Arabidopsis thaliana: one gene and its partner. The protein of the gene in region 1 binds, or shares a complex with, the protein of each later gene. Each region holds a gene or a part of one and is shown in the gene's direction. Other genes may lie near its edges.

The links.
Region 2: the proteins of IDA (region 1) and HSL1 are in contact, whole or in part, in a crystal structure (PDB 7ODV), measured with the Arabidopsis thaliana proteins. Residues at the interface, in NP_564941.1 of Arabidopsis thaliana: Val57 (codon at 3,182), Pro58 (codon at 3,185), Ile59 (codon at 3,188), Pro60 (codon at 3,191), Pro61 (codon at 3,194), Ser62 (codon at 3,197), Ala63 (codon at 3,200), Pro64 (codon at 3,203), Ser65 (codon at 3,206), Lys66 (codon at 3,209), Arg67 (codon at 3,212), His68 (codon at 3,215), Asn69 (codon at 3,218); in NP_174166.1 of Arabidopsis thaliana: Tyr92 (codon at 2,386), Asn93 (codon at 2,389), Gln117 (codon at 2,461), Thr140 (codon at 2,530), Gly141 (codon at 2,533), Val164 (codon at 2,602), Tyr165 (codon at 2,605), Tyr189 (codon at 2,677), Trp211 (codon at 2,743), Asp233 (codon at 2,809), Asp235 (codon at 2,815), Gln257 (codon at 2,881), Glu259 (codon at 2,887), Tyr261 (codon at 2,893), Leu281 (codon at 2,953), Asp283 (codon at 2,959), Ser285 (codon at 2,965), Met286 (codon at 2,968), Ser304 (codon at 3,022), Asn306 (codon at 3,028), Tyr308 (codon at 3,034), Glu309 (codon at 3,037), Glu328 (codon at 3,094), Arg330 (codon at 3,100), Phe332 (codon at 3,106), Asp354 (codon at 3,172), Ser356 (codon at 3,178), Glu357 (codon at 3,181), Glu376 (codon at 3,238), Leu378 (codon at 3,244).

The regions. Positions count from the first base shown.
Region 1 is NC_003070.9:25,818,991-25,833,403, reverse strand, and holds IDA (Putative membrane lipoprotein), read left to right. Parts: upstream 1-2,622; 5' UTR 2,623-3,013; coding exon 3,014-3,247; 3' UTR 3,248-3,487; downstream 3,488-14,413. Other genes in the region: AT1G68780 (RNI-like superfamily protein), read left to right, coding at 69-290, 447-1,523; NUDX1 (nudix hydrolase 1), read right to left, coding at 3,797-4,104, 4,179-4,314; PPC4 (phosphoenolpyruvate carboxylase 4), read left to right, coding at 5,300-5,455, 5,611-5,774, 5,886-6,000, 6,119-6,196, 6,282-6,350, 6,430-6,508, 6,586-6,662, 6,754-6,849 and 12 more. UniProt on the Arabidopsis thaliana protein: Involved in an ethylene-independent separation step of floral abscission. Promotes abscission zone (AZ) cells rounding. May act with RLK5 and HSL2 as ligand-receptor pairs.
Region 2 is NC_003070.9:9,994,802-10,012,246, forward strand, and holds HSL1 (HAESA-like 1), read left to right. Parts: upstream 1-1,911; 5' UTR 1,912-2,112; coding exon 2,113-4,699; intron 4,700-4,966; coding exon 4,967-5,370; 3' UTR 5,371-5,654; downstream 5,655-17,445. Other genes in the region: AGL58 (AGAMOUS-like 58), read left to right, coding at 9,165-9,722; AGL59 (AGAMOUS-like 59), read left to right, coding at 11,429-11,977; NAC010 (NAC domain containing protein 10), read left to right, coding at 15,458-15,658, 15,749-15,941, 16,516-17,066.

The DNA.
Region 1 (14,413 bases):
ATACAGATAAGATCCACACAACACTTTTTTCTCCTTCTATTCTCTTGTATCTTCTCATTATAGTCTCGATGAAGATGCTGAGACTTAGAAAGAAGCAACATTTGGTGTTTCTACTATGCGTGTGGTGTTTGGTGGTGGATTGGAGCAAAGCAGAAACAGAGGAAAGTGATGGAAGTCCCATGGAGAAAACAGAGCAAGCTGCTCTATACTCTACCATTCAAGGCTTTGTTGGTGAATCTTGGAATGGCTCTTATCTTTATCCTGACCCTTGTGGCTGGACTCCTATCCAGGTCCTTTCTCTCATCACTATTCTTTGATTATCAATAAAAAACAACAAAAAACTATCTTAGTAATGTTTTAAGCCTATCAAGATTATGATTATTGAATTCGGAAGCCGTTGAAAATGTTGAGTAGCTGATGTAATTCTCTGTTGTTTAACTCTGCAGGGTGTGACTTGTGATATCTATGATGAGCTTTGGTATGTAACTGCTCTAAGCTTTGGGACTATGAAAGACAACTCTCTTGCTTGTTCTGAAAGTCCAGTGATCAGACCACAACTCTTTGAGCTCAAGCACCTCAAGTCTCTCTCTCTTTTCAACTGCTTCACAACGCCTAACCGATATCTAGCTTCAATCTCCGATGAAAAGTGGTTGGATCTCTCTAAAAGCTTGGAGAGACTTGAGATCAGATCAAACCCGGGACTGATAGGTGAACTCCCTTCTGTCATCACTAACCTCACCAACCTTCAATCTCTGGTGGTGCTAGAAAACAAGTTAACAGGTCCATTGCCAGTGAATTTGGCCAAGTTAACCAGATTGAGACGTTTAGTACTGTCTGGAAACCGGTTCACAGGGAGAATACCTGAGGTCTACGGGTTAACCGGATTGTTGATATTGGATGTGAGCAGGAATTTCTTATCTGGGGCGTTGCCTTTAAGCGTTGGAGGATTGTATTCTCTGCTGAAACTTGATCTTAGTAACAATTACTTGGAAGGAAAGTTACCTAGAGAGCTAGAGTCCTTGAAGAATCTCACTCTATTGGACTTGAGAAACAACAGATTATCAGGTGGGTTGAGTAAAGAGATCCAAGAGATGACTTCTTTGGTAGAACTGGTTCTGTCCAATAATCGCCTAGCCGGGGACTTGACAGGAATAAAGTGGAGAAATCTGAAGAATTTAGTGGTTCTTGATCTCTCCAACACAGGCTTAAAAGGGGAGATTCCTGGTTCAATCTTGGAGCTCAAGAAACTGAGGTTTTTGGGTTTGAGCAACAACAATCTCGGAGGCAAACTCATTCCACAAATGGAAACCGAAATGCCTAGTCTCAGCGCGCTTTACGTGAATGGAAATAACATCAGCGGAGAGTTGGAATTCTCTAGGTACTTTTATGAGAGAATGGGAAGGAGACTTGGTGTTTGGGGGAACCCTAATCTGTGTTACAACGGAGATGAGACCAAGAACCTTAGCGATCATGTTCCTTTCGGAGTGAACCAATGTAAGAGAATTAAGGCAGATAAATATTAGAACCCTCGTTCTGAATCAAAGGGTTTGTGATAACAAAAACTTGGAATGATACAAAGCTGTGGTCTTTTCAATTTTGTTATTGCATCTTATTTCTATAGCATTATTTTGTTTTAAATTATTTAGCGTATTTACAAAATATAGTTTTGATATCTCGAAGTTCATTAGAAAAACTTCCAAGTATTTTTTTTTTAGATCATACAATCATAAAATTAAATAACAGACTTACCTAGTTTAAATTTACTGTGTATCAATGATTCAATGTATGATACGGTCGGTTCTTACCTAGTTAAAATTTGTTTTTTTTTAGTATATGTAAAGATCTACCTGTTTCCATCAAATTAGAAGAATTGTATGATTTTATGCGACATGTCTAATCGTAGGAGGTATGTTGGAACTTTATTTTATTTTGGCATTTCATAAAGGAAATATAAAAAATTCTATTTAGGTAAAAATAATAATCCGTGACTAAGTCCGATATAGATGCAGAAATCAGGTGGATATCCAAATCAAATTTGGCATAATTTAAAGAAAAATGTGAATCATGGAAAGCCACTTGTCAAGTTGTAAAATTGTGTATAACTGAGTCAACCCTCCAAGCTACTTTTTGTTCTCTCTTTAATTTCTTAAAATACCTTCTCACGCAAAAGATAGAGTTGGTATACATTGTTTTTACGTGTTTTATGCATGCATTTTTCAGTATATTTTATGTGTATATTCGTTTAACTAAATTATTATTTATTCCGTATCATGATTAACCTACGACATGTTATCATTTAGTCTAATCCTTTTACTATACATACGTGTATTGTCTACCACTTTCGTCATTCGTCCAAGGATGATATCTAATTTTCTTTCTGCACGACATATATGATATATTGTGTGCTTAAAGAAAGCTCATGAGTCATGTCTGATATTTGAGTTCGAATTTCGAAAACTAATCTTGCTTTACTATTCATACATCTTGTGATATAGTTACTGTTGAAAGTTGAATAATGCAAAAGAAAACAAAAGATAGCTCATGGTGACGATGCCTATAAAACCATTAATTATTCTTCTTCCCGTCAACGTACTTGTACATATATGATGAAATCTTGAAAAAAACGACCATCCCATCAAACCAGATTCCCATTTCCTAGCATAAAATGGACTTCTATAGAAAAATACAAAGGAAAATAAAAGTCGAAGGCGGTGACTAAAACAACGAGAAAAACTCAAACCTTTGAAAACTTTAGAATTCTTATAAAATAATAAGGAAAATTCAAAGTCTCAATAGCGTGGGATTCACTCCACTCTTACCATTCCCCGACTTCCCCCTCATTTCCGCCACACTTATTTCCAATCAAATCCACACACACACATGTTATAAATATAACACATAGTCACATACATACACATTATTCATTTCATTCATAAGACCCTTCATTCATTTACTCAAAGAAGTGGAAGTGAAAAAATTAGAAAAAGAGAAGAAAAAAAACATTGACTACCAAATGGCTCCGTGTCGTACGATGATGGTTCTGCTCTGTTTTGTTCTGTTTCTCGCGGCGAGTAGTTCTTGTGTAGCGGCTGCAAGAATTGGAGCCACCATGGAGATGAAGAAGAATATAAAGAGATTAACGTTTAAAAACAGCCATATTTTTGGTTACTTACCTAAAGGCGTTCCCATTCCTCCTTCTGCTCCTTCTAAGAGACACAACTCTTTTGTTAACTCTCTTCCTCATTGATTTCATTTTATTTTATTCATTGTATTCTTTTAGGTTTGGTTTTGTAGATTAGATCAACATAGGGTATTATACTCTTTGTATATGCATACGATTTATATTTACTTTTGAATTTGTTCCTTTTTATGTTTATAGACTTAATATATGTTTAAGGTCATTACGGCCATATAAAGATCAAGAAATCGATTAAGCTTTGTTAGCCTTCTACTAAAGAATATTCCATAGACCTCACTCATCATACGCTAATCAAACATATGTTTTTATGCAACTTGTAAGTTATATCATTCGTCTTTCTCAAATAGGTCAATGTTTGAGTTAAGACTTAAGAACGTAATAATCAAACATAGAGAAATAAAATCGATAGGACACATGATAAGTTTATTACTAATTAGGAAAACAGAAACCAAAAATACAATAAAAAAGAGTAAAAGAGAGGGGCATTCCGAGAATTGAACTCGGGACCTCTCGCACCCTAAGCGAGAATCATACCACTAGACCAAATGCCCAATTTGCAACATTCAATCCCAAATCAATCATTAACTCTTACATCTATTAGTCTCCACCACCATGAGTGAAAGGATTGAAACCACTTCCAAACAATTTCTCAAGTGGCCAAAACAAAGGCTTTGGTAGATTCTCCCAATCATACCAATCCCATCCTTCACACTTCTCTGGTTCCATATTCTTCGGTTCTTGACTTGGATCCACCAACACCGCACGTATCGAAACAGAGACGTAGTGTGATGGCGTTGGTGCTTCTTTGAAGACATTGTTTGTAACAGTCAAAAGCTTCATCTTTTCAATCTTTAGACCTGTTTCCTCCATTACTTCTCTCGCTGCACATTCTTCAAAGCTCTCTCCTGATCAAAGAACAAAGATTAGATCAAATCAAGATTTGGGTGATATAAAGAGAGAAGAGAGAGAGGAGAGAGACCGAATTCGAGGTGGCCACCGGGAAGAGCGAAAGTGGAGTTGCCGATTGAGGAACGGCGGCGACCTAATAAGATTGAGTTTCCGTTGAGAATGAAAACGACGACGGCGACTCTTGGTATCGCTTCTCCTGTCGACATTATTATCGAACACAGTGAAACCCTTTCTTGTCGTGTTTTAGTTTTGTTGACTTAATTTGAGTTTAAAACGATGTCGTATCGGTTATGCGTTTATATACGTGTTGGCAAATGTGTCGCCGTGTCGGTGTGATTGGCTGTACACAATTATCGCTGTTTCTTTTTCCATTGCACTTGTTTTCATTTTATTTATTAAAAAATTTAGATGATATTATATAATATATGTTCTTTATGATGTTGCCATAACGAGAACGATTATGTAAAAAATAACATATACATATACTTTTCTGTTTATAAATGATTATTTTTTTAGAAAAAATTTATTTCTAAAATATTGATTTTTTTAAGTTTTTTATGCAATATTTATTGGTTAGTATTGATGAATTGTAATTAAAAAAAAAAAATTAATTATCATTGTTTTTTGAGTTATAGAAAACTGTAAAACATAAAAAATAATGTATTTATAATCAACATTTATTATGTTTTCTTAAAAAATAGAAGGAGTAGTCATTTGTTAGATAGTAAGACTTAGCCAAATTATATGTCATTTACTGTACTTTAGTTTTTTTTTCCGATCATAAGAATGTATGTTAAAATAACAATCACCAAAGAGGCACAAAATAAATTGTAGGTCCAAAGATAAAACAGAGTTAGTTAAAACCAGTTACTCCTTTCGTAGAATTTTTACCCAAAAAAAGAAAAAAAAAAATCGTAGAATTTCCTTCTCTTTTCTTCTTAATTATAATATATCAACTGTTTGTTTTGTTGTTTAGTTTGGAAAGGAAGAAAATTAGCTTAAGAAATAAGAATATATTTTTTTGGGGAAAGATGACTAGCACCACAAATTTAACTACGCCATAATTTACTGCGTTGACCACCATAATTAGTAATTAAGCACCATAGCTAACAAACCATATATAATCACTCTTCAAAATATTTAACTTTGATCACTGCAATTATTCATTCCTTCACCTTGTTCATTGATACAATGACGGACACAACAGACGATATCGCAGAGGAAATCTCATTCCAAAGCTTCGAAGATGACTGCAAATTGCTCGGTAGTCTCTTCCATGATGTGTTACAAAGGGAAGTTGGCAACCCATTCATGGAAAAAGTCGAACGCATTCGGATTCTTGCTCAGGTTTCATCTTCTGTCTATTCGCTTCCATATGCTTAGATCATTTGATAAGAATCTCACATCGTAGTAATAAGAGATATAGTCATATAGATCAATCAACTTATCGAAACAAATATGAATGATACGACTTATTTTTGTGTGGTTTTTAAATGTTTCAGAGTGCGTTAAATTTGCGTATGGCTGGTATTGAGGATACCGCAAACCTTTTGGAGAAGCAATTGACTAGTGAAATATCCAAAATGCCACTAGAAGAAGCCTTAACGTTGGCTCGTACATTCACTCATTCTCTTAACTTAATGGGCATTGCAGACACTCATCACAGGTCATGATTTTTGTAATCACATTACAACAAAAATATTACAAGTAATAAACATGAATAGATAATTCTAAACTTAAACATTGTGGATTCTAATAATAAACATTTTTATTCCAGAATGCACAAAGTCCATAACGTTACACAACTTGCAAGATCTTGTGATGATATATTCAGCCAGCTATTGCAAAGTGGAATCTCTCCAGACGAACTTTATAAAACTGTTTGCAAACAGGTCTAGCTACTTCATATTGTATCATTTTAGAAACATTTCAATTCGTTTTATCTAACACAAAGGTCGTATCTGAGTGTTGTTTTCTCTATTTGATATTTGTTTGTTTATCGCGCTTTAGGAGGTCGAAATTGTTCTTACTGCTCATCCTACCCAAATAAATCGAAGAACCTTGCAGTACAAGCATATTAGAATTGCTGTAAGTTAGTTCTAATGATGTTAACATATATGGATTATATCTCTTAATTTTACTTGAGAGAGTTAAAAGTATATGGTTCTTGCAGCATCTTCTAGAATATAACACTAGATCAGATCTAAGCGTTGAAGATCGCGAAACGCTCATTGAAGATTTGGTACACTCCATCTCAATATCTTCCATATAAATTTTATCAGCAGAGTAACTTATAAACTAAGAGTTACTTATACTTAAAGGTTAGAGAGATTACTTCACTGTGGCAAACTGATGAGCTTAGACGTCAGAAACCTACTCCAGTTGATGAAGCTAGAGCTGGTATTTTAAATATAATTGTAAAGTACAGAAAAGTTTCACTCTAAAAAACTATTTCTCTTTCTTTTTCATTCATTTAGGTCTAAACATAGTGGAGCAATCCCTTTGGAAAGCAGTACCACAATACCTGCGTCGTGTCAGCAATTCCTTGAAGAAGGTATTATTTTACCTTTAGGTATCTAGAATATATGAATAATCGTTATACTTTATCTTAAGATAATATTGATATTTTGTATTTTCTTGGTTAGTTTACAGGGAAGCCACTTCCACTAACATGCACTCCTATGAAATTTGGTTCTTGGATGGGAGGTGATAGAGATGGAAATCCAAATGTCACGGCAAAGGTTAGTCTTTTGATATTTTACGATTTGAACTCAAAACCAACCGGTAATGAAAATTAGTCCATGGTCGTTATTATATTACTCTAGGTCACATCTCACTTGTAATATGAGATTCTTAACATTTACTTTTTGATGAAGAAGATCTTTTAAAACTGCAATCAGAAAATTTGATTGTCACATATTCTCTTGATATATAACACACACTTGAATGTTGTGATATCATTTGTCCAGGTCACGAAAGAAGTATCTCTCTTGTCTAGATGGATGGCTATTGATTTGTACATAAGAGAGGTTGATAGCTTAAGATTTGAATTATCTACGGATCGATGCAGTGATAGGTTTTCAAGATTAGCTGATAAAATTCTTGAAAAGGGTAAATATATGCTTCAATTTCTATTAAATCTTTACTTGTTCATTTACATAAAAATTTTTTGTTCTGAATAAAGTTGATGTTTTTTCCCCTTAAAATTCTGAAAAAGATTATGATAGAGGAAAATCAAATTTCCAAAAGCAACAAAGTTCATCATGCTTGCCAACACAACTTCCAGCTAGAGCTCACCTTCCTGCTTGCATTGGTAAAAAGATTTCTTAATCTCTTGCATTTGGTAAATATCTCAAAACCATGCATGTTTTATATCACATCCCATTGCAGACTTTGGTGAATCACGACATACCAAATTTGAAATTGCGACGACAGATTATATGCCACCCAATCTCCAGGTAACACAAAGCCTTTAAATGTGCTGACATATAGATGAAACATATTTTACAGAAATTTCTCCATCCTCTTTTGATTAATTTTTCTTTTAATCTTTGTTTATATAGAAGCAGAATGAACAAGACTTTTCGGAAAGCGACTGGGAGAAAATTGACAATGGTTCGCGGTCCGGTCTTACTTCTCGAGGTTCTTTCTCATCTACTTCTCAACTTCTTCTCCAGAGAAAACTATTTGAGGAATCTCAGGTTGGGAAGACTAGTTTCCAAAAGCTACTAGAACCACCTCCACTTAAACGAGCTGGAAGTGCTCCTTATCGTATTGTTCTTGGAGAAGTAAAAGAAAAGGTAAAGATCATAAGCTTTTCAATCAAAGATAATATAAAGATTCAGATTTAGCATGTCAAAACCAACAGATTTTCAAATTTAATGATTTATGATCATAGCTTGTGAAGACAAGAAGACTTCTTGAACTTCTTATTGAGGGTCTTCCTTGTGAGTATGACCCTAAAAACTCCTATGAAACATCAGATCAGCTTCTTGAACCATTGCTCCTCTGTTACGAATCTCTGGTTAGCAATCTTGATTCCATGTGAAACTTGTGTTACCACAATAATCCATAATCATAAAATTTAACATCATTCGTTTTTGCAGCAATCATCGGGTGCTAGGGTACTAGCTGATGGACGACTTGCTGATCTGATTCGTAGAGTTTCTACCTTTGGAATGGTTTTGGTGAAACTCGACTTACGCCAGGTGATTTTAGTTTGTTTTCTTAAATCTTCATGCTTTGGTCCTCTAATTCAATAATATGTGTGATTCAATTACTAGGAAGCTGCAAGACATTCTGAAGCTTTGGATGCAATTACAACATACTTGGATATGGGTACTTATAGTGAATGGGATGAAGAGAAGAAATTAGAATTTTTGACAAGAGAACTAAAAGGGAAACGACCTCTTGTTCCTCAATGTATTAAGGTCATAATGAAATATCTATTGCGTAAACTACAAGAAAGAGCAATGTTATGTTATGAAAGTTGTTAAATTTTATTTATTTATCTGTATTTTATTTATGTAGGTTGGTCCTGACGTCAAAGAAGTATTGGACACATTCCGAGTCGCTGCTGAACTTGGAAGTGAATCACTTGGCGCTTACGTTATTTCTATGGCTTCAAATGTATAATTTTCTTATGCATGACGACTTTAAACATTTTCATTAAAACAAAACAATGACATAGATTTGTTTGTTACTTGCAGGCAAGTGATGTCCTCGCTGTGGAACTTCTTCAAAAAGATGCTCGACTTGCTTTAACTAGCGAACATGGAAAACCATGTCCTGGTGGAACGTGAGTTCAAATCTCCACCAAGATATTACATTGTTTATAGCAATCACTTTATAAGTACATACATGAGTAACATTTTTAGTAGTCTTAAGATCTCTTACTACTATCTATTTATTTGAATAGGCTACGAGTGGTACCTCTTTTTGAAACGGTGAATGATTTAAGAGCCGCTGGTCCTTCGATAAGGAAATTGCTCTCAATCGATTGGTATAGGGAACACATCCAAAAGAACCACAACGGTCACCAAGAGGTACGTTACACGTGAATTTAAACATGTTAATTTTGAAGGGAGGTTCTAAGAACTTGTAACAATGTTACTTGTAGGTGATGGTTGGATACTCTGATTCTGGAAAAGATGCTGGACGTTTTACTGCAGCATGGGAACTCTACAAAGCTCAAGAAAATGTTGTTGCTGCTTGTAATGAATTTGGAATCAAAATAACATTATTTCATGGACGAGGAGGAAGCATTGGTCGTGGTGGTGGTCCAACCTATCTCGCTATTCAGTCCCAACCACCAGGCTCTGTAATGGTCAGTTTCCAAACTATTATTTATTGATCATTTAAAAACATATTTAATGATTGTATTATTTGTTTTGTTACTAATGTCAATACGGGGTTAAAAATATATATATATATATATATATATATATATATATATATATATACATTTTTGGTGCCATGGCACTAGACCAATGAGCTATTACGCTAAAATGATTGAACTGGTTTGACCAGGGCTCTTTGCGTTCAACTGAGCAAGGTGAGATGGTTCAAGCTAAGTTTGGGATACCACAAACGGCTGTTAGGCAACTAGAGGTATACACAACCGCGGTTCTACTCGCTACCTTAAAGCCTCCTCAGCCACCTCGAGAGGAAAAATGGCGAAACCTAATGGAAGAAATCTCTGGAATCAGTTGCCAACACTATAGAAGCACAGTGTATGAAAACCCAGAGTTTCTATCTTATTTTCATGAGGCAACACCGCAAGCAGAACTTGGTTTCCTCAATATAGGAAGCCGACCAACACGAAGAAAGAGCTCTAGTGGAATAGGACATCTCCGAGCTATCCCTTGGGTCTTTGCTTGGACTCAAACAAGGTTTGTTCTTCCAGCTTGGCTTGGTGTAGGGGCTGGTTTAAAGGGAGTTTCTGAGAAGGGTCATGCGGATGATCTTAAAGAGATGTACAAAGAATGGCCATTTTTTCAGTCCACCCTTGAACTTATAGAGATGGTGTTAGCTAAAGCAGACATTCCAATGACCAAACACTACGACGAACAACTTGTGTCTGAGAAAAGAAGAGGACTTGGCACTGAGCTAAGAAAAGAACTAATGACTACTGAGAAGTACGTTCTTGTGATAAGTGGTCACGAGAAACTCTTGCAGGACAATAAGAGCTTGAAGAAACTCATTGATAGTAGACTTCCGTATCTCAACGCAATGAACATGTTACAAGTTGAAATTCTTAAGAGGCTAAGACGTGATGAAGATAACAATAAGCTAAGAGATGCTTTGCTTATCACAATCAATGGTATTGCTGCAGGAATGAGAAATACCGGTTAATACACTACCACAACACTTGCTTACGTGATTTAAAAGATACTATTACTTTTGCTGTTTTCTTGTTGGACAAGTATTGATGTCATTCTTTAGTACTAGTACTGGACCTCTAATCTGACATTGTGTTGCTGTTTGAGCTTGCACTTGTTGAACAACACGGCGTTCTTACAAATGAGAACGGCAAATAGTTTATAACTTCTCACTTGGCCAAGTCAAAAGTAAGAATATTTGTCTATCTTTTGGCACAAATGATTTTTTTAGGCTCCAATTATTAAATAATGGGTAAATTACAACCAAAGGAATTTTTTTTTGCAATTTCCATACATCCACATATTTTTATAATATAGATATCTAAATCACATCCTGTAACCATAAACATAAGGTACCTTTTCATGTTTAAAACACCAACTTGTGGTCCAAGGTTAATGGATCAAAATTTGTGTTTAAAGTAACTTTTAGTCTTCTATTATTTCTAGTTTCAATTGCTTTTTACTATTTGCTTTCTAAAAATACTATATGGTAGCCTTTTACATGTCTGAATTTAAAAGTTTTCATGACCCAAAGCATATTCCTTAAGAATATTATTTGATCGTGGGGTACATCGTTTTTTGTTTGTTTGTTAAGTGTTGTGCATCTTATGATTTTACAAAAGTTTATTTTCTCATACAAGTTTCCTAAAGACGTTTATTAGTCAACTGTCAAAAATAACCATATCAAAGACCTTATGTAATAAATCAAACTGCAAAATTGTTAATACCTACAACAGGCAGATCCAAGATATATCTTCATGTTAAGAATGAAACAATCTAATTTACTGATGTCCAATAGTACATCGTCTTTTAATGGCAAAATAATCATAGTTCCTAGGTCATGTATATAGCTACGAGGTTAGGTGGGTGGTAGCTCCGACATCCATTTTACCATCCACAATCGGCTGAATCATTGAACAACATTGTTGGGTGAGATCATTGGCAATAAACCATGGAATGATGTCATAATAGTGAGATAAACATGCATTCTTGGGTCCTATAAATAAACATACACAATCACATATTGTGAAGATGATGTTGCCTGAAATGATTGAATTCACTTTGCCTTTTTATCTTTTTGAGTCAAATTGTGGTTTTTGGTTGTCGTACAACCACAATCCCTACCGCTTTTCGACAAATTGATTCCGCGATTGATAAAATGTGATTTGTATATCAAATTCAATATAGAAGAAACTACATGTTCTTTAAAAAATATGAAACTATAATTACTTTATAAAAAAAAAAATTATAGTTTTTTTTTATGTTGTCATATATAAATCTAAAATTTACCTGACAGAGACTTTATATGACCTTTTTTTATAACTTATTGATTTCACATCATCTTTCTCTTAAAGTAAAATAGTAATCTTAAAAAAGATGCCTCATGTGTAGAAAACTTCAGTTGAAAATAGAGAACCCAATATTGTAAGTTAGCTAGTCCATCGTTAGAAAAAAAGAAGAAGCAAGCCAGTCCATCGTTTATGCCTTTGAAACTTCCTTTTTGAAGCAACCCGAAAGAGTAGAGTTTAGAAATAAAACAACACCGGTCTATTTTTAGTACTACGAGTTAAACTATATGTACGACAAATTCAAAATTACGTGAAATCAATAAAAAGAAACATTACTCAATCTAACTCAAAAAACTGAACTAAACGGATAAATTTGAGAAGGTCGATTACTCTGTTGATGACGTTAATAGCAACTCATCTACGATAATAGTAAATTAAAACAGTCGCTAGATGTCTTAAGGTATTATCACAAATCCATTGCATTTTCATTTTCCGATGGAACTAAAGCAACGACAAACGTTATGCAACATAGAAAACTTGATTTACGACGATATCTTAACTATTTGGTTTGCAACATAATAGTAGTAACCGGATTTTCCACCATGTATGATGTATGGAATTGGAGAAAAATGTATGTGTGGATAGTATAATTTTACATATTTTAATGAAATTAGATGTGCAGAAATGTTTACAACGAATTATCCTCGGCATTATACTAAGAAGATAAGGCATAATCTTCATATAGTATTCTAAACCTAATAAATTATACAAGATAAGATGAAAAAAGTATATATTCAGATTCCCGATACGTTTGTTATATGAAGAAATTTTAAAAACATATTAACTGATTCTTTTTGTCCTGTGGCAATTTAGATCAATATGTCTTTGAATTCAATAACATTCGGAGAAAGACATATGATCCATTTTTTCTTTCTTCCTAAATTGACAAAGCAGATTTGTTTCATAGAATTATTATTTTTTTAACTAGGTGATACACTAATAAACATATTTTAATTTAGGAAGAAAGTAAAAATAGTTAATGAATAATACGATTTTTTCCTGCTGTCCAAAATGAATAATACGATTTTTTCCTGTGTCCAAAATGAATAATACGATTACATTTATTTAAAGTATAGCAAATATGTTTTTACTGGGGTACTATTTTTTTTAATAATCTATTCTATATCAAATTTGAAGTCATTATAATTATTCTATTTTGAATAATTTAATTCTATGTGATGTAGAATTTCTCTTGAATAAGATTTGGAAAATATATAAAAGTACCATAGAGATTCTGTAGATCAATTTTAATTGAGCCAAGTGTTGCTTTGTCAAAAGGCTAAGTGAAATATTTCATATGGATATACCTCTTTTCTGATTATTTTGAAACTAATTAAGATTCCACATTAAAATATTATACAATCGAACCCCGGATCAATTTAAAATTCTTAGTACTAAAACCTCTGAGAATAGTAAATTAGGAGGGATCATCAGGAGAATAATATCAAACTCTCTTAAAGTTATTGATTCACAACTTTCATGCAATAGTAAACTGACAAACAATTTTCTCTAGGTAAGATTACATGCAGCTTCTCATTTCATTTTATATTATTTAACATTGCAAGAAATTAAAGGTTTACTATTCAACCATAATTATGTCTATTAATAACTACATATTCAAAAAAAATCAAACACTAAAATATGTATTATAAAATTGGCAGGTAAAACATATGAAGACTTTATATACAACACACGCAATATACATAATGAATAGTGTCTTTAACAATGTCCAAACACATGGAATTATTCAAGTAGAAATACATCACAATCGCAAAATACCTCCAAAGCAACCTTTTTCTCTGAGGATCGTGATATATATTCTCTTCTCAACGATTCGAAGATAATCGATTCTTAACACATTGGTTGGCTTGTAAGAATCCGAATCCAGACACAGGGAAAGGGAGACTTCATTAATACATCGCTGCCTTGACGGCATATGCTTCCACATATACTAATTTAAGTTAGCCATCGTTGTTACTCTTTTTGAACTGTAGATAATTAGATAATTTAATCTAGCATGTATTAGTACATATAGCGTAGACATGCATGCATGTTGGTAAAATTAAAGTTAAATAAAAACAAATAAAGACTGTGCATAACCTTAGATGTGCGACATACACGTACTTTCCTGAAGGTGCTAGCTAAATAAGTATATATTCTTTAGACTTCAATAGTATTGTGCAAAGGGCATCTGCTTAAGTCTTTTTGGTGAAAATACATATTCTACTAGACTTCCAATAACTCACATGATTTAGTGGTAGCTGATACAAAACGTTATTAAAAACTGGTCCAATATCAAAGAAATGTATGGGACTCGGCTTATAACCTCCTGATAAAAACATATATATACTTTATATCAAAATATTAGCTTATTTATTTCCAAATATAATCTTACATAATACATTTTTTTTGCAACGGATACAACAACCATTTTGTTAAAAAAAATCGTATAGTTGGTACGGTTGCCCATATTTAGATTTTAGACGTATAAGCAGTGCAGTTACACATATTACTAGTTTAAAAGTTATTTTCAAAAAAAGTTAATTTTGCTCCTAATGTGCGTTAATGAAAAAACA
Region 2 (17,445 bases), about 16 Mb from region 1:
TAAGAGGACATCAATCACACGTAATGGAAACTTGATTAACTAAGTAATGAAATTAAAAATATAAACAAAACTAATTTGACGGTTTCTTTCAATCAACTAGCTAGCAACAATTTGTAGGATGAAAGAGACTTTGCTTATAACAATCTCATAAGACAGAGATTTGTAGCTATTGTAGTGTACGTAATTTCTTAAATGTCTATCTTATAGGATACAAGTGTCGAACTCCGTTTAGTGTACCCTAATTTTTTTTTGACAACTTGTATTGTGTGTTTCACAGAAACTATTAGAAACACGAAGAAGAGAAGACTGCTTGGAATCAATCTATCTCCAAAATTTCACTCATCTATCTCTTTAAATATCATTCAAATGGTATGTTGATTAAAGTGATGCTTTTCTCAACCGATACATATGTTAGAACATACGTTTTCTAACTAACATATATGTAGGCAAAATTTGTGTTGTTCTTTTATGAGTTTATTATTTTGTTAAATTAAGATTAACTAAAATAAAATCAAATTCCAACTGATAAACTAAGATTGAGATTATGATAGTAAACGTAACAATTCTCATAATGTAACGGGCATGAAATCCAAATCGTAAGAAAATAAAAACAAAAATAGATAACAATTTTTTTTAACTGGATTCAACAATGTATTCACGTCCTCAAAAACAAAATTCTTGAACACAAGTACAGTTAGTGCAACTCTTTTTCACATCCTACAAAATAATTTACGATTTCGTTTAGCCGTAACAACTTATGAAAACCAAGTTGTGAGAATAAGAACAAAGTGTACACACAGTTTGTTTTTCACAATACATTATTTTACGTCTTCCAATTTTGTTGCATATCAACCTAAAATTTAAAAACCATAAAGAACTCTTATTCGACTCGAATACTTTTTTAAGACTATGACATCTCTAAGATAAGCAATACTCATGACTCTCGCTTGAGAAGTGCATTCTCATATTGACTACACCATTAGGCAATATGTTTCCTAACGTTTAACCATACAAGTTTGTCCCCCTCTTTCCCTTTGCAATACTAATTAGTATAACAAATTTCATTAGAGAATGTTTAATTTCATAAATATCTCAATATTTTGATATCTTATCCTATCTTCCATATTTTCTTTGCATTTTTTGTAAATAACTACATATTATTATCTTCAAAAATGAATTTCACATTTCAACAAAATAAAATATTTTCATGTTTCTACATGCATGCTAGTTTATTCTCTTAATAGTTGATACAATATTCCTAATACTCTTTAAGACGTGCATAAACTTTTTAAAATTGAATGATAATTAATTTAATTCACATCGACTTTAGACTACGTTCCAAGTAAACTTCCAACACATTCTGTTTTTTTTTTTTTTGATATGTTCTAACAATATTTGTACTTTACTACTTTACAAACGCCGATAATAAATAAAACTGTCGGAATATATCTCATTCCATCTCCAAAAAAAAAAAAAAAAAAAAATCAGATATCTACATTTCAAAATTAATGTTTACCGTACCTTCTTTTCACCTTGCAATTTTTTTAAAATGCACATTTACTCTACTAACTAACTTTTCATTTACATTAAAAACATATATAATGAAATCAAATTTGTATGCAAATTCCATATATATTATAAAGCTAAAATTATTTAATTGAAAATTTACAATCTTATCGTCTCCTACATAACTAATTTAAAAACAGTTGCATTCTCTTAAACAACAAAGTACAAAAAAAGAATGTTTCCTTCCATATGGCTATTTAGCTAGATCATCATTATTAGTAACATTCTCTTTTATAATCAGATAAACACAGGATAATTATACAATGTTGGAAACTCGACATAGATACTAATAATTGCAAACAAATAATTAGAGAGAATCGTTATAGAAAACAAAAACAAAATAAATGATAGTAGAAAAACAAATGATTTTTATAGCATTCACAGTCAGAGTCACGATAATTCACCTGTCTCCGGTCAACGCTTTTTATAGACTCTCTTCTTCTCTTCCTTCAAAGCACTCTCTCACAAACACTCTCTTCTTCATACTCTCTTATCTCTCTCTCTTTCTTCAACCACCGTCATAGATACCGGGGAAGACGAAGAAACATGTATCTTCTCTTTCTCTTCTTACTTTTCCCCACCGTCTTCTCTCTTAACCAAGACGGTTTCATTCTTCAACAAGTCAAGCTCTCGTTAGACGACCCAGACTCATATCTCTCTTCCTGGAACTCCAACGATGCTTCTCCTTGTCGGTGGTCCGGCGTTTCCTGCGCCGGTGATTTCTCCTCCGTCACTTCCGTAGACCTCTCCAGCGCTAATCTCGCCGGACCTTTTCCTTCAGTCATTTGTCGTCTCTCTAATCTGGCTCATCTCTCTTTGTACAATAACTCCATCAACTCTACTCTTCCTCTCAACATCGCTGCTTGTAAGAGTCTTCAAACTCTCGATCTCTCTCAGAATCTACTCACCGGTGAGCTTCCACAAACTCTTGCCGATATTCCGACTTTGGTTCACTTAGATTTGACCGGTAACAACTTTTCCGGTGACATTCCGGCGAGTTTCGGCAAATTCGAAAACCTAGAGGTTCTTTCTCTTGTTTACAATCTCTTAGACGGTACGATTCCTCCGTTTCTCGGCAACATCAGCACGTTGAAGATGCTGAATCTTTCGTATAACCCCTTTAGTCCGAGTCGGATCCCGCCGGAGTTCGGGAACTTGACGAATCTCGAGGTTATGTGGCTCACTGAGTGTCATTTAGTCGGACAGATCCCTGACTCGCTGGGTCAACTCAGTAAACTCGTTGATTTAGACCTTGCGCTCAACGACCTTGTAGGTCATATTCCTCCTTCGCTCGGTGGTTTGACTAACGTCGTTCAGATTGAGCTGTACAACAACTCGTTGACCGGAGAGATTCCACCGGAGCTCGGGAATTTGAAATCGTTGAGACTTCTCGACGCGTCGATGAATCAGTTAACCGGGAAAATACCGGACGAGCTTTGCCGTGTGCCGTTGGAGAGTTTGAATCTCTACGAGAACAATCTAGAAGGTGAGCTTCCGGCGAGTATAGCGTTATCTCCGAACTTGTACGAGATTAGAATATTCGGAAACCGGTTAACCGGTGGATTACCAAAAGACCTCGGTCTAAACTCGCCGTTGAGATGGTTGGATGTTTCGGAAAACGAATTTTCCGGCGACTTACCGGCGGATCTGTGTGCGAAAGGAGAGCTAGAGGAGTTGTTGATTATACACAATTCCTTCTCCGGCGTTATACCGGAGAGTCTCGCCGATTGCAGGAGCTTGACACGTATCCGGTTAGCTTATAACCGGTTTTCCGGTTCAGTTCCTACAGGTTTCTGGGGATTGCCTCATGTTAACTTGCTTGAGCTCGTCAACAACTCGTTCTCCGGTGAAATTTCGAAGTCCATTGGAGGTGCTTCAAATCTCTCGCTGTTGATTCTCTCCAACAATGAATTCACCGGATCTTTGCCGGAGGAAATTGGTTCTTTGGATAATCTTAATCAGTTGTCGGCAAGTGGGAACAAGTTCAGTGGCTCGTTGCCTGATAGCTTGATGAGTCTTGGAGAATTAGGTACTCTTGATCTTCATGGTAATCAGTTTTCAGGAGAGTTAACTTCTGGAATCAAATCTTGGAAGAAGCTCAACGAGTTAAACTTAGCCGATAACGAATTCACCGGTAAAATTCCAGATGAAATCGGGAGTTTGTCAGTATTGAACTATCTTGATCTTTCTGGTAACATGTTCTCTGGCAAGATCCCGGTTTCATTGCAGAGTTTGAAGCTAAACCAGCTGAATCTGTCTTATAACCGGTTATCGGGTGACTTACCGCCTTCTTTAGCGAAAGATATGTATAAGAATAGCTTCATTGGGAACCCGGGATTGTGTGGGGATATCAAGGGATTGTGTGGCTCTGAGAATGAAGCTAAGAAGAGAGGCTATGTATGGCTTCTTAGATCGATTTTCGTACTTGCTGCGATGGTGCTTCTTGCGGGTGTTGCTTGGTTCTACTTCAAGTACAGGACTTTCAAGAAAGCAAGAGCCATGGAGAGATCTAAGTGGACTCTAATGTCGTTCCACAAACTCGGGTTCAGTGAGCATGAGATTCTTGAAAGCTTGGATGAAGATAATGTGATTGGAGCTGGAGCTTCAGGTAAAGTTTACAAGGTTGTACTCACCAATGGGGAAACTGTTGCGGTTAAGCGTTTATGGACAGGTTCTGTTAAGGAAACTGGAGATTGTGATCCAGAGAAAGGTTACAAACCTGGAGTTCAAGATGAGGCTTTTGAAGCTGAAGTTGAGACATTGGGTAAGATTAGGCATAAGAACATTGTGAAGCTATGGTGTTGCTGTTCTACAAGAGACTGCAAGCTCTTGGTTTATGAGTACATGCCTAATGGTAGTTTGGGAGATTTGCTTCATAGCAGTAAAGGAGGAATGTTGGGATGGCAAACGAGGTTTAAGATTATCTTAGATGCGGCTGAGGGGCTTTCGTATCTTCACCATGATTCTGTTCCTCCGATTGTGCATAGAGATATTAAGTCAAACAATATTTTGATCGATGGAGATTATGGTGCAAGAGTTGCTGATTTTGGTGTGGCTAAAGCTGTCGACTTGACCGGAAAAGCTCCTAAATCGATGTCAGTGATCGCTGGTTCATGCGGTTATATCGCACCAGGTTAGTCTTATGATTCAAGTTAAATGTGCTTTGTTTAATCAACAGTTTTGCTTAAGGTAATAATGCTCATTTGGTACATGTTGCACGGAGATTCAGATGAACCACATTTAAGTTTTATTAGTTGAGACTTAAATGAGCATTCACTATCTATTGAGACATGTCTGAAACCATGGCTCCACAACTTCTCACTTGTCCATTAATGGAATTTGAAACTTTTTGTTTGTTTGTCTGTTTCCCTCCATAACTTTCATTTCAAACTTCTTGCAGAATACGCATATACGCTTCGTGTGAACGAGAAAAGCGACATCTACAGTTTCGGGGTAGTGATCCTTGAGATAGTAACTAGGAAACGCCCGGTTGATCCAGAACTTGGGGAGAAGGATTTGGTGAAGTGGGTTTGCTCTACATTGGACCAAAAAGGCATAGAGCATGTGATAGACCCGAAACTCGACTCTTGTTTCAAAGAAGAGATAAGCAAAATCCTCAACGTTGGACTCCTCTGCACGAGTCCGTTGCCCATTAACCGACCTTCCATGAGGCGTGTGGTTAAGATGTTGCAAGAAATTGGTGGTGGAGACGAAGATAGCCTACACAAGATAAGAGATGACAAGGATGGCAAGTTAACACCTTATTACAACGAAGACACCTCAGACCAAGGAAGTATAGCTTGAGACACAAATGGAGAAAGAAAAGTGTTTTGCCCAAAAAAGCTCTCTCAATTTTTGGTGCTTGAAGCTGTCAATTTAGGGCATTGAATCAAGATTCTCTCACCCCTTTTTAGGGTTTTGATCTAAAAGTGAGAATCAGAGATTGTCGAAATTTTTATAATATATATAAAGAAGTTTCTAATTCAGCGTTTCAGTTTCTCCACTGTATAAAGCTATTAGTAAACTCTGGTTTTGTAAGAGTTTTTATCTTTGGTAAATGCAAATGAAAAAGTTGCGATCTTTCTGGCGTTAACATGCATTTAAATAGTTTCCATATTTGGGTAAACAGATTCAAGGTTCGTGTAGGAACATGTCTATCTGAATCTTTTAAAGCATTAGGCTCTCTCTCTCTCTCTCGTTTTTAGTGAACTCTTGGAGGCTCGTGTACAGTTTGATGTCACTGTAGATTCACATGTCTCTTAAATTCTCAACTTTTTCAAACCAACTTTTCTATTATTATTTATAATTTCAGGTTGTGTTATTTCCTTTACTTACTCTCTCCGTACACGAGCATGAACATCAGACTTGGCACATGAAATGACTAATATCAACCTTCCTGCGAAAAGATCTCTAACTTTTAGTTACTTGTGTGAAGTCTAGTATCTATAATAAACAACGTATGTTTTTTTGACAGTCATTCTTTAAAACATGATATTCTTGGAGTTCGAGAACTATTTGTAAGAAAGATATAATTCCAAAAAGAGAAAAAGAATTAGTTAAGTCATGTAAATCGACCGGTAGTGATTAGGTAAACGTTTAACTTCCTAATTGCAATTAAGTAACGACATTAAAAACTAAAGAGATAACTTCTATTATTGTTGAGTATAAAACAAATCCAAAACAAAAACATTGACATCTCAACATTAGCTAAGCTTTATCATCTAACTAGAGAATTTTACATTAAGGTTACATAAATAGGGTGAGAATCTAAATATGAGCTGTTGGGTGAGGAAATTAAAAGTGGGTCCAATAAGCATTGAAGCCAGCCCACATTGTTATCATTCAATTCAAGGGACATAGACACCTCACCTTCATCTTTTGCCTTGTCTCTCTGTCTCTTTCACTCTCTAAATCATTTCTCAATTTTGTTTTCTTTGTTTTTGCATTTCCTTTTTGTTTATTTTTTTCAACTTGTTGCATGATGAGGTTTCATAGAGATTCCACATAACATGTTTGTATTTGCTAGAACAAGTACACTCTTTTTTTATTCTATTTTGATAGTTGTGTGAAGTTTCTTTTATATGTGATGCAACTTTGTTCTAGTAATTTTGGTATAGTAGTCTTGCTAGTGGTTGGTATGATATGAGTAAGATAGTTCGTGGGTAGCATAATTATTTATAAGAAACAAAGAATTATAATGGAAAGCATAGTAGGGACTAAGGGACCAAAGTTCAATAGATAAGGTCAGGATTGCGAAATGATCATGTACATCATTAATACATATGAGAGTAATTGAGTGTTATTGTGACCCACACCACACGGTACACACTCACACCTTAGGGGTCATATGGCTTTTAAATGGGCCTATCGGACCCACATTGTTTTCCACATTTTTGAATAAGTCTTACATATCGACTCTACTCTCTCTATTCTCAAATTTGTCAAAGGCCCATTAAAAAAACTAGGAAAGACAAAAGACGATTTTGGTATATGTTTTTTTATATTTTTTTGTAAAGATAATATATGTTGTAAACAAATAACTTGCCAAGCTTCTAAAGAACTTGTAAAATGTTTGAAAACTTACTAAAAACCTTTCTGAAAAACCTTTGTAACGAATATGACACATTTGATAAGGAAGTAGGAACAAAAGTTTGGACTTAAGAGTGGGCCTGTGGGAGCAGACTATTGTTACATCTAATATATGTTTGGTAAATTCTGAATATTGCTCGCTGTTTTCTTAAGTTTCTTTAAAGCCCCCAAATAACAATAAAAACTTACTACTTACTTAAACCAAACTGCTTTCATTTTATTTTCTTCTAAAAAACTAGGAAAAAAAGAAAATTAGATATACTTCTTTTGTAATCAAGAAGTGCTCCAAGTTTTTACCATAAAACTAATTCCTTCGTGACTAAAGCCAAAAAAAAAAAAATGACATTAGAATGCCAAAATTATTTAATAAACCTAAAATGTGGCATCATTTTGACTAGAATAGAGTAATTTAGTGCATTTTGCATTTGAAGAAAATTGATTTCTGTCCTAAACCTGCATAACAACTCCTATGTAAGTGAAAACTACTAGACTACTACCATTTAGTTATTGAAAAACTATCAGAACTATAAATATATATATGCAATTTAACATGCTAGGGCATAACTTTGGTGAAACCATTTTGACTTTTCTAGGAGTTACAGTAATAGCATAATACATATACTCTATTATGTAAATTTTGATAATAGGATCCTTGTTAATTATATCTACGGGAAAACAGCCAGTTCTCCTATGAAGTGTGCTTAAAAGTACACTAACTTAAATAAAAATTACATTTCATACACGAACAATTCAAATATGACAAAACAATTAAATTGGCAAAGAGTGTTACATTTCCGTTAACATATGCTTACTAGGATGCAGCGTTTACAATTTAAGATGCCACTTCATTTAAATTCTAAAACAAAAATTATGGATAAAATCTTATTTAGAAAGAACTGAGCATATGACCTTTATGGATATTTTGCACACTCACTACCAATTTAGATTGGACAACTTCTTTGTCAATTAATTACATACACAAACGTGTAAATATATAGTCTCCTTTAATTTTGCCATAGTTTTTACTGAATATCGATGTGTAATTATTTCATATATGTTCCTTGTATCATCTCTAATTAAGAAAGTAGAATGAATCTTTTTTGTATATATGTACTAGGATCTAATTTAGAAATGTTTTGAGAAGTGGGAGTTGAAGATGCTTCTTATACAAAAGGTACAAGTTAAGAAGCTAGGGATTTATTGTCCCTGCTGAGTGGGTGCTATGTTCTTCTGGCCTAGAGACTCATGCTCACTTATTCTTTGACTGTGCTTATTCTGCCACTCTTTGGGAAGGGTTTGCTTCAAGGATTTGGCCTTCTCCTCCATCTGGTCTTCTCTCGATTTCTTCTTGGATTTTGCAGGTAAGGACTTCTTCTAACCCCAAGATCATGACTATTGCCAAGCTCATCTTGCAAGCGGCCTGCTATCTCATCTAGCGGGAGCGTAATGTCCGGATCTTCAACAACATAACCTCACCGACATCTGTTACTCAAGCTTCCCTGGACCGCTCTTTAAGGGATCGGTTTCTCTCCCTCTTCTTCTACCTCTCCTTCTCTTCTTCTTACTTATTTTGGTTGTATTAGTTTTTCTTTCTAGCAATTTTTTTTTCTAGTAAGTTTCGCTTTCGTAAAAAAAAACAGAAAATTGGTATAAAGTTAACCTTCTACCAAAAAAAAAAAGGTACAAGTTCAGAATATCATACATTCATTATTACCATAAAATCTCTTCTAGTCAAAGTCTCTACATCCGGAATTAAGAGTTGTTATTAATCGACCATAACTATGCGGATAACAAATATTAACAACCTTCCAAACATTAATCTAAGAATTGACTAATTTTTATGCAATTTAATTTACCACCATTTTTCCATCTATATAAACCCTATCTTGCACCCAACCAAAAAAAAAATATTCCTTGGCTAAAGCCAAATACATCAATCACATACTTAGCTTAAATTTCTCTCTTTTTTTTTTATAACCAATAAACTCATAATTTTGTTTTTCTCCAAAATGAATCCCAAGAAAACCAAAGGAAAACAAAAGATTAACATCAAGAAAATTGAAAAAGACGAAGACAGATCGGTCACATTGTCTAAGCGTCTAAATGCTATCTACACTATGATCATTGAGCTTTCCATTCTCTGTGGTGTTGAAGTTGCGTTTATCGGGTATTCTTGCTCTGGAAAACCATACACATTCGGCAGTCCGTCCTTCCAAGCCGTGGTGGAGCGGTTTCTCAACGGCGAGGCCTCGTCGTCTTCTTCATCATCGTTGCAACGATCGGTCAAGAATGCTCACAAGCAAGCGAAGATTCAAGAGCTTTGCAAAAGATACAATAGATTGGTGGAGGAGTTAAAGGTGGACGAAGTCAAAGTCAAGAAGGCAGCTGCATTGGCGGAGACGAGGGCCGTGAATAAGGATGCGTGGTGGAAAGCAGATCCAAATGACGTGAAGGATCACGAAAAGGCGAAGAAGATGATGGAGAAGTATCAAGAGCTCAAAGAGAAACTGCGTGAGGAAGTTGCTTTAAGGATCAAGAGAGGACATGATGAGAATAATAACAAATGATCTGTAATCAAGATTTTAATTAGTAGATCACTTGTGATCATCACTAGTTAATTATGAGTGTTAAGAATTATGTTTTTTATTTGTCTTTTTTATACATTATGAATTGTTATTGTTTTCTACAACATCCAGTAATGGGTTAAAAAAACTGAAATATTTTGTTTTAATAGATATCACCTTTGAGTTTAACAAAATCTTATTAAAACAGAAAGAAAAAAAGTATTGTGTAGTAGTATGATGCTCTTTAATTTTTATTTTATTTTACCAAAGAGAAGTCATGAAAGATTTTGTAACATATTAAACTGTGAAAAATGCTGCTACAAGGAGACTTTGTTAAATTGGCAAAGAGTGTTACATTTCCGTTAACATATGCTTACTAGGATGCAGCGTTTACAATTTAAGATGCCACTTCATTTAAATTCTAAAACAAAAATTATGGATAAAATCTTATTTAGAAAGAACTGAGCATATGACCTTTATGCATATTTTGCACACTCACTACCAATTTAGATTGGACAACTTCTTTGTCAATTAATTACATACACAAACGTGTAAATATATAGTCTCCTTTAATTTTGCCATAGTTTTTACTGAATATCGATGTGTAATTATTTCATATATGTTCCTTGTATCATCTCTAATTAAGAAAGTAGAATGAATCTTTTTTGTATATATGTACTAGGATCTAATTTAGAAATGTTTTGAGAAGTGGGAGTTGAAGATGCTTCTTATACAAAAGGTACAAGTTAAGAAGCTGGGGAGTTAATGTCCCTGTTGAGTGGGTGCTCTGTTCTTCTGGCCTAGAGACTCATGCTCACTTATTCTTTGACTGTGCTTATTCTGCCACTCTTTGGGAAGGGTTTGCTTCAAGGATTTGGCCTTCTCCTCCATCTGGTCTTCTCTCGATTTCTTCTTGGATTTTGCAGGCAAGGACTTCTTCTAACCCCAAGATCACGACTATTGTCAAGCTCATCTTGCAAGCGGCCTGCTATCTCATCTAGCGAGAGCGTAATGCCCGGATCTTCAACAACATCAACTCACCACCGTCTGTTACTCAAGCTTCCCTGGACCGCTCTTTAAGGGATCGACTTCTCTCCTTCCATGCCTCTTCTTCTACCTCTCCTTCTCTTCTTCTTACTTATTTTGGATGTATTAGTTTTCCTTTGTAGTAGCTTTATTTTTAATACGTTTCGCTTCTCTACAGAAAAAAACAGAAAATTGGTATAAATAAACCTTTTACGCAAAAAAAAAAAATATAAGTTCAGAATATCATACATTCATTATTAACATAAAATCTCTTCTAGTCAAAGTCTCTACATCCGGAATTAAGAGTTATTATCAATCGACCATAACTATGCGGATAACAAATATTAACAACCTTCCAAACATTAATCTAATATCATACATTCATTATTACCATAAAATCTCTTCTAGTCAAAGTCTCTACATCCGGAATTAAGAGTTTTTATTAATCGACCATAACTATGCGGATTACAAATATTACCAACCTTCCAAACATTAATTTAAGAATTGACTTTTTTAATGAAATTTAAATTACTACCATTTTTCCATCTATATAAACCTTATCTTGCACCCAACAAAAAAAACATATTCCTTGGCTAAAGCCAAAAACAACAATCACATACTTAGTTTAAATTTCTCTTTTTTTTTTTATAACCAATAAACTCATAATTGTTTTTTTCTCCAAAATGAATCCCAAGAAAACCAAAGGAAAACAAAAGATTAACATCAAGAAAATTGAAAAAGATGAAGGCAGATCGGTCACATTCTCTAAGCGTCTAAATGGTATCTACACTAAAATCAGTGAGCTTTCTATTCTCTGTGGTGTTGAAGTTGCGTTTATCGGGTATTCTTGCTCTGGAAAACCATACACTTTTGGCAGTCCATCCTTCCAAGCCGTGGCGGAGCGGTTTCTCAACGGCGATGCCTCGTCGTCTTCTTCATCATCATTGGTCATGAATGCTCACAAGCAAGCGAAGATTCAAGAGCTTTGCAAAAAATACAATAGATTGGTGGAGGAGTTAAAGGTGGACGAAGTCAAAGTCAAGAAGGCAGCTGCATTGGCGGAGACGAGGGTCGTGAATAAGGATGTGTGGTGGAAAGTGGATCCAAATGACGTGAAGGATCACGAAAAGGCGAAGAAGATGATGGAGAAGTATCAAGAGCTCTATGATAAACTGTGTGAGCAAGCTGCTTCAAGGATCAAGAGAGGACATGATGAGAATAATAACAAATGATTCATAATCAAGATTTTAATTAGTAGATCATTTGTGATCATCACTAGTTAATTATGAGTGTTAAGAATTATGTTTTTTTTCTTCTGTTGTTTTTATACATTATGAATTGTTATTGTTTTCTACAACATCCAGTAATGGGTTAAAGAAACCGAAATATTTTGTTTTAATAAATATCACCTTTGAGGTTAACGAAATCTTATCAAAACAGAAAGAAAAAAGTATTGTGTAGTAGTATAATACTCTTCAATGTTATTTTATTTTATCAAAGAGAAGTTATGAAAGATTTTGTAACATAACAAGGAGACTTTGTTATTAAATAAGCACATATGCTTTTGGCCCATATAGGTTTAGTTGTTTTGTAAATTTTTAGCATGTCTTCTGATTTTCAGATTTTGTTTAGGAAAGGAATAAAGTCCTCCAAAGATTGTTCATCAACTTTAGCCGATTAGATTGGTATGTCTTGGTTTGGTCTTGTGGAGATAGTAGTCTCATAGTAGTCGTCTAAACCAAAGCTCTAGTCTTGAAAGCTTATCTTTCCCATCTTCACGTTGTTCATTCACTTCATGGGAGATTCGAATTACATTCTTTTAAGAGGATATTAGTTTACGCTCTAATCGTACTATATTCATGGATTAAGAAAACATCTACAATCTCCAACATATTTTAAACAGAGGACCAATGCAGACAAGGAAACCTTCAAGGTCTCAAAAAAAAGTCAAGAAAATTTGAATTCGTGCCAACTAATAAAACGGACATACCTTTGATTTTAGGTGTCCGACCAGGTCGCACTTATTTGAGTGATGGATATAGTTTGATTAGAATAAAATCTAGTAACTATTTTGTTAAGTCAGGGTATTGGGTTGCGCAAGAACTTTCTCGCCCTACTTGTGACTACCCTTTTCAGGGACCAGGAATCACTCCCTTTTTGGCACAAGTATGGAAGTTAAAAACCACAAGAAAGCTTAAGCATTTTGTGGTAATGTTTATCAGGGTACTTGGCAACAAACCATACACTATTCTACCGACACATCGGTAAGGAAAAGCATTGTCCTAGATGTGGTGCTCAGGAGGAGACAGTTAATCACCTCTTTTTTGAATGCCCACCAGTGCTTCAAACTTGGGCTCTTTCACCAATTCCATCACTGCCTTCCTCCTTTTCTGATTAGTCCTTATTCTCCAATTTGGATTTTCTTTCTCGAAAGTGAAAGGAATGATGAATGGTAAAGAAATTGGACACCTTTTCCCATGGATACTATGGTATGTATAGAAGGCTCAAAATAGCTTTATACAGTAGAAACTCTATAAATTAGTAATGTTGGGATCATGAAATTTTATTAATTTATAATGATATTAATTTATCCTATAAATTAATATTTATTAACTTATACGATAAGTTAATAAATATTAATTTATAGAAATATTTACATAAAATACAATATTATATTCTTTTTAAAATGTTTCTTAATTTAAGTTTTTATATGTTTTGTTGTTTGCATATATAATTATGTTAGTTTTAGTTTTTTTTTTACTTCTTTAATTTATTTTTCAGCAAGATATTGTGTCTATATATCTACGCCATTAACGTCAATGTAAACGTAAACATGAAGCTTAATCCAATTTCTCTTTACTCAAATCTTAGCAATGCTTTCTCAAAAAGATTTTACAAAATCAACTATGACGGATCAAATACGCAAATAGTTAATTATATGAGTATAACAAAGATCATACCAGTTGTATTTTAAAAAGAGTTGTAATTGTAGCTTGAATAAAAATTTCATATAAAAATTAGTCTTAAAATATATACTTAAGATCTATGATTATTAATTTATAATATTATTGGATTTTGAAATTTTGAATTTTTTTTCATTTTTTATTTATTTATTTTACATTAGGTTTCTTCCCTCTTGTAACAATATTTGTGCTGATTGTCTAGCTAAAAAGGTAAGAGCATGAGGGTCTCTTTTCTCCCATGTAAACACATCTGCTTAGGATTGTCTTTCTTTAGAAGAAAAATTCCGTCCGATAACTTAGTAAAATGGTGTTCGACTAAAAAGAAAAAAAAAACATTTAAAACAAGAAAGTCAAATAATTATTTGATATAAAATTTTAATGACATATTTATAATTAAAATATAATTTAACAGAAATATAGTTATATACTAGATAAAAAAACATATTTCTTTGAAAATTAAAACAGATGAAATATATGAAATTAATCATTTCTAAAAAGCTTTCTAAGTAAGCTGTTTCGTTCCTTTACATCTGTCTTTTTCATTTACTTTTTGGGTTGAGATTATTAGTTTCTTGTTCATGAAGCTTCGCATCTCCATCGAGGATCATGTGTACGGACCCGAGTGCTTACCCAAATAAACCGAATTACCATAGCATTTACAAAAAAAACATTTGGAGAGTTGGTTGTACCATTCTAATTATATATAGTTCGTCTTTTAATATTGTGGTTAGCTAAGAAAATTCAATATTAGGTCTACTTTAAGACACAGATTGAGAAAAAATATATATAAGTTAATAACTTTTGGTGAAGAATCTGTTGTCAACGAGCCAAAATATGAGAATTTTTGGGTATAGGTTACTTGCTTAACACGAGAGTTTGTTCTGTGCGTGAAGATATGGTCTTATTGCTTCACCAAGTTGGTCCAACATATATATATGATCTAACATTTATCTATGAGATCTCTTTATCTATTGTATATTTCGTAAATGAATCCTACTATACATACATGAAATATTGATAGTCGGGCATAACTTAACGTTTTCCATTGCATAATTCATCACACGATCTTTTTCTTGGATTTTTTTTATATATATAAAATATAATCTGTTAAAGGATCAATCAAGATCATGTTATGGCATATGATATATTGAATAGAAAATAAATAAAACTGGCAAAACTTTAAATAGTTTGGAAAAGAAAATGAGTTTGAATAACGACACTCCATCTCTCGTCACCTTTCTTGATTTTGAAGAGATTAGTTTTCTCTATTTTTTTTCGTTTTTTCTTTTATAAACTCCATATCCTGATTTAGTTTAATGATCTCTTGAAGGGGTTTTCCTAAGTGTGGTTGGATACCATTAGTTAAACATTTTCACACAACTCTAGCTATAACACATTCAATATTTCAACTGTGAATACTAGAAAAAGGTTAAAATGGTTCAAATTAAAATAGTCATAATCAAAATGTTGAAAAATGCATTTAAAAGTTATTTGTTGCAAACGTATGTACATACACCATTCATAAACTTGACGTCCACGCAACCTCCCAAAAATATTATTTTATTACACCATTTTAATTTAATATACTATAATTAAATTTTAGTTCCAAAACTTAACATTCACTTGCCCCTCTTTCTATATCACCTCCTCATCTTTAGCTCCCTCTCTCTCGTTTTATCTTTTGATAGTTCTGATTGTAATTAGATTTTGGTAGGTCACTTGTATAGAGAGATCAGTAAAATAAGAAGGATGAGTTGGTGTGATGGTTCAGATGATAACTACGATCTTAATCTTGAAAGAGTATCGAACACTGATCATCCATCGGTTCAACTCAAAGACCAATCTCAATCATGTGTAACGAGCCGTCCAGATTCCAAGATTAGCGCTGAAACTCCCATCACGACTTGTCCTTCTTGCGGACACAAGCTCCATCATCACCAAGACGACCAGGTTACATATGTTAACCATTAATTCACCTAAATGTTCTTTAGTTATCAATATGATTACTTTAGATTTTGACATAAAATGAGATCTGATAAGGTTGGTAGCATCAAAGATTTACCAAGCTTACCGGCAGGAGTCAAATTCGATCCGTCGGATAAAGAGATCCTTATGCATTTGGAGGCGAAGGTATCATCCGATAAGCGAAAACTTCATCCGTTGATTGATGAATTTATACCTACGCTTGAAGGAGAGAATGGAATTTGTTATACGCATCCTGAGAAACTTCCTGGTATGTAACCCTCTCTTTTTTTTTTTTTTTTTTTGTATTATCAATACAGAGCTAAGTATAAATTACAGAAAAATAAATGAATACTATTGACGATATTTCTTTCTCAATTAGCACCATGAAAACAAGGAGAATTATCCAAAAATGACTATTTTGGTTATCGCGATTTCATTTCATTTAAAATTTACATCTTCTTCTTTTCTTGGGGTCAAAAGTAAGTAACGCATGTTTTTGCATACGGAGTCTACACAAACACTCTTGGCTTTACCATTTTATATTAGAGTTTTCGGTTTAAATTTTTTTTTGTAGAGGCATAGATATTTTGGTTAGTTATAAAATAAAAAATCTTGCTAGATTTGATATATAATATGTGTTCAGAAGATTTGTTCAGAAGTGTAATGGTTGGTTTTATCCCAAAAACAAATGATCACATATTCACATGCATATAGTAAAGTTTTGTGAAATAAAATTGTCTCTACAATTTGGTGTAAGATTATAAAAGTGAAATCATCAAATCCGATGTGATTGATGATCAGATCAACATATGCTTAACTTAAGTACATCTTGTCCCAAGTAGGAGTAAGCAAGGACGGGCAAGTACGGCACTTCTTCCACCGGCCATCAAAGGCTTATACGACCGGAACACGAAAACGAAGAAAAGTGAGCACAGATGAGGAAGGCCATGAAACAAGGTGGCACAAAACAGGCAAGACTCGACCTGTTTTGTCTCAATCAGGAGAAACCGGTTTCAAGAAGATCCTAGTGCTCTACACCAACTATGGTCGCCAGAAGAAGCCTGAGAAGACGAATTGGGTGATGCATCAGTATCATTTAGGTAGCAGCGAGGACGAAAAAGACGGTGAACCAGTCCTCTCTAAAGTCTTCTACCAAACACAGCCTAGGCAATGCGGTTCGATGGAACCTAAACCGAAAAATCTCGTAAACCTAAACCGGTTTAGTTATGAAAATATTCAGGCCGGTTTCGGGTATGAGCATGGTGGTAAAAGTGAAGAGACGACGCAGGTGATTCGAGAGTTGGTAGTTCGTGAAGGCGATGGGTCATGTTCGTTTCTTAGTTTTACTTGTGATGCAAGTAAGGGTAAAGAAAGCTTCATGAAGAATCAATAGAACATAACATATATAATATATATAAATGGAGGTGCTTTGTTGGAGTAAAGATGAGGAAAAGAATGAGAGAGCACATATTCTTTGTGTGTAGGTGTTGGGTAACTATCATAGTAATCTACCTCAAAGCTTTTGGGAGATTTTAGGTTTTAACCTTTTTTATTATTAAATTGGGGGCGTAACTTTAACCTCGAGACATGACTGATATTTGTTTATATTTCTATTCTTCTAGATAAAATATGTCAAAACAATACTGTAATAGCTCGTCTTTCAATTATTGTAACAAATATTTCAAGTAATAATGAAATTAAAAATGGATAAAATAGGACTTTGGAAACCGGAACTCTTGGTTTAGTACTTTTTTTGTTAGTAACGCATGTAT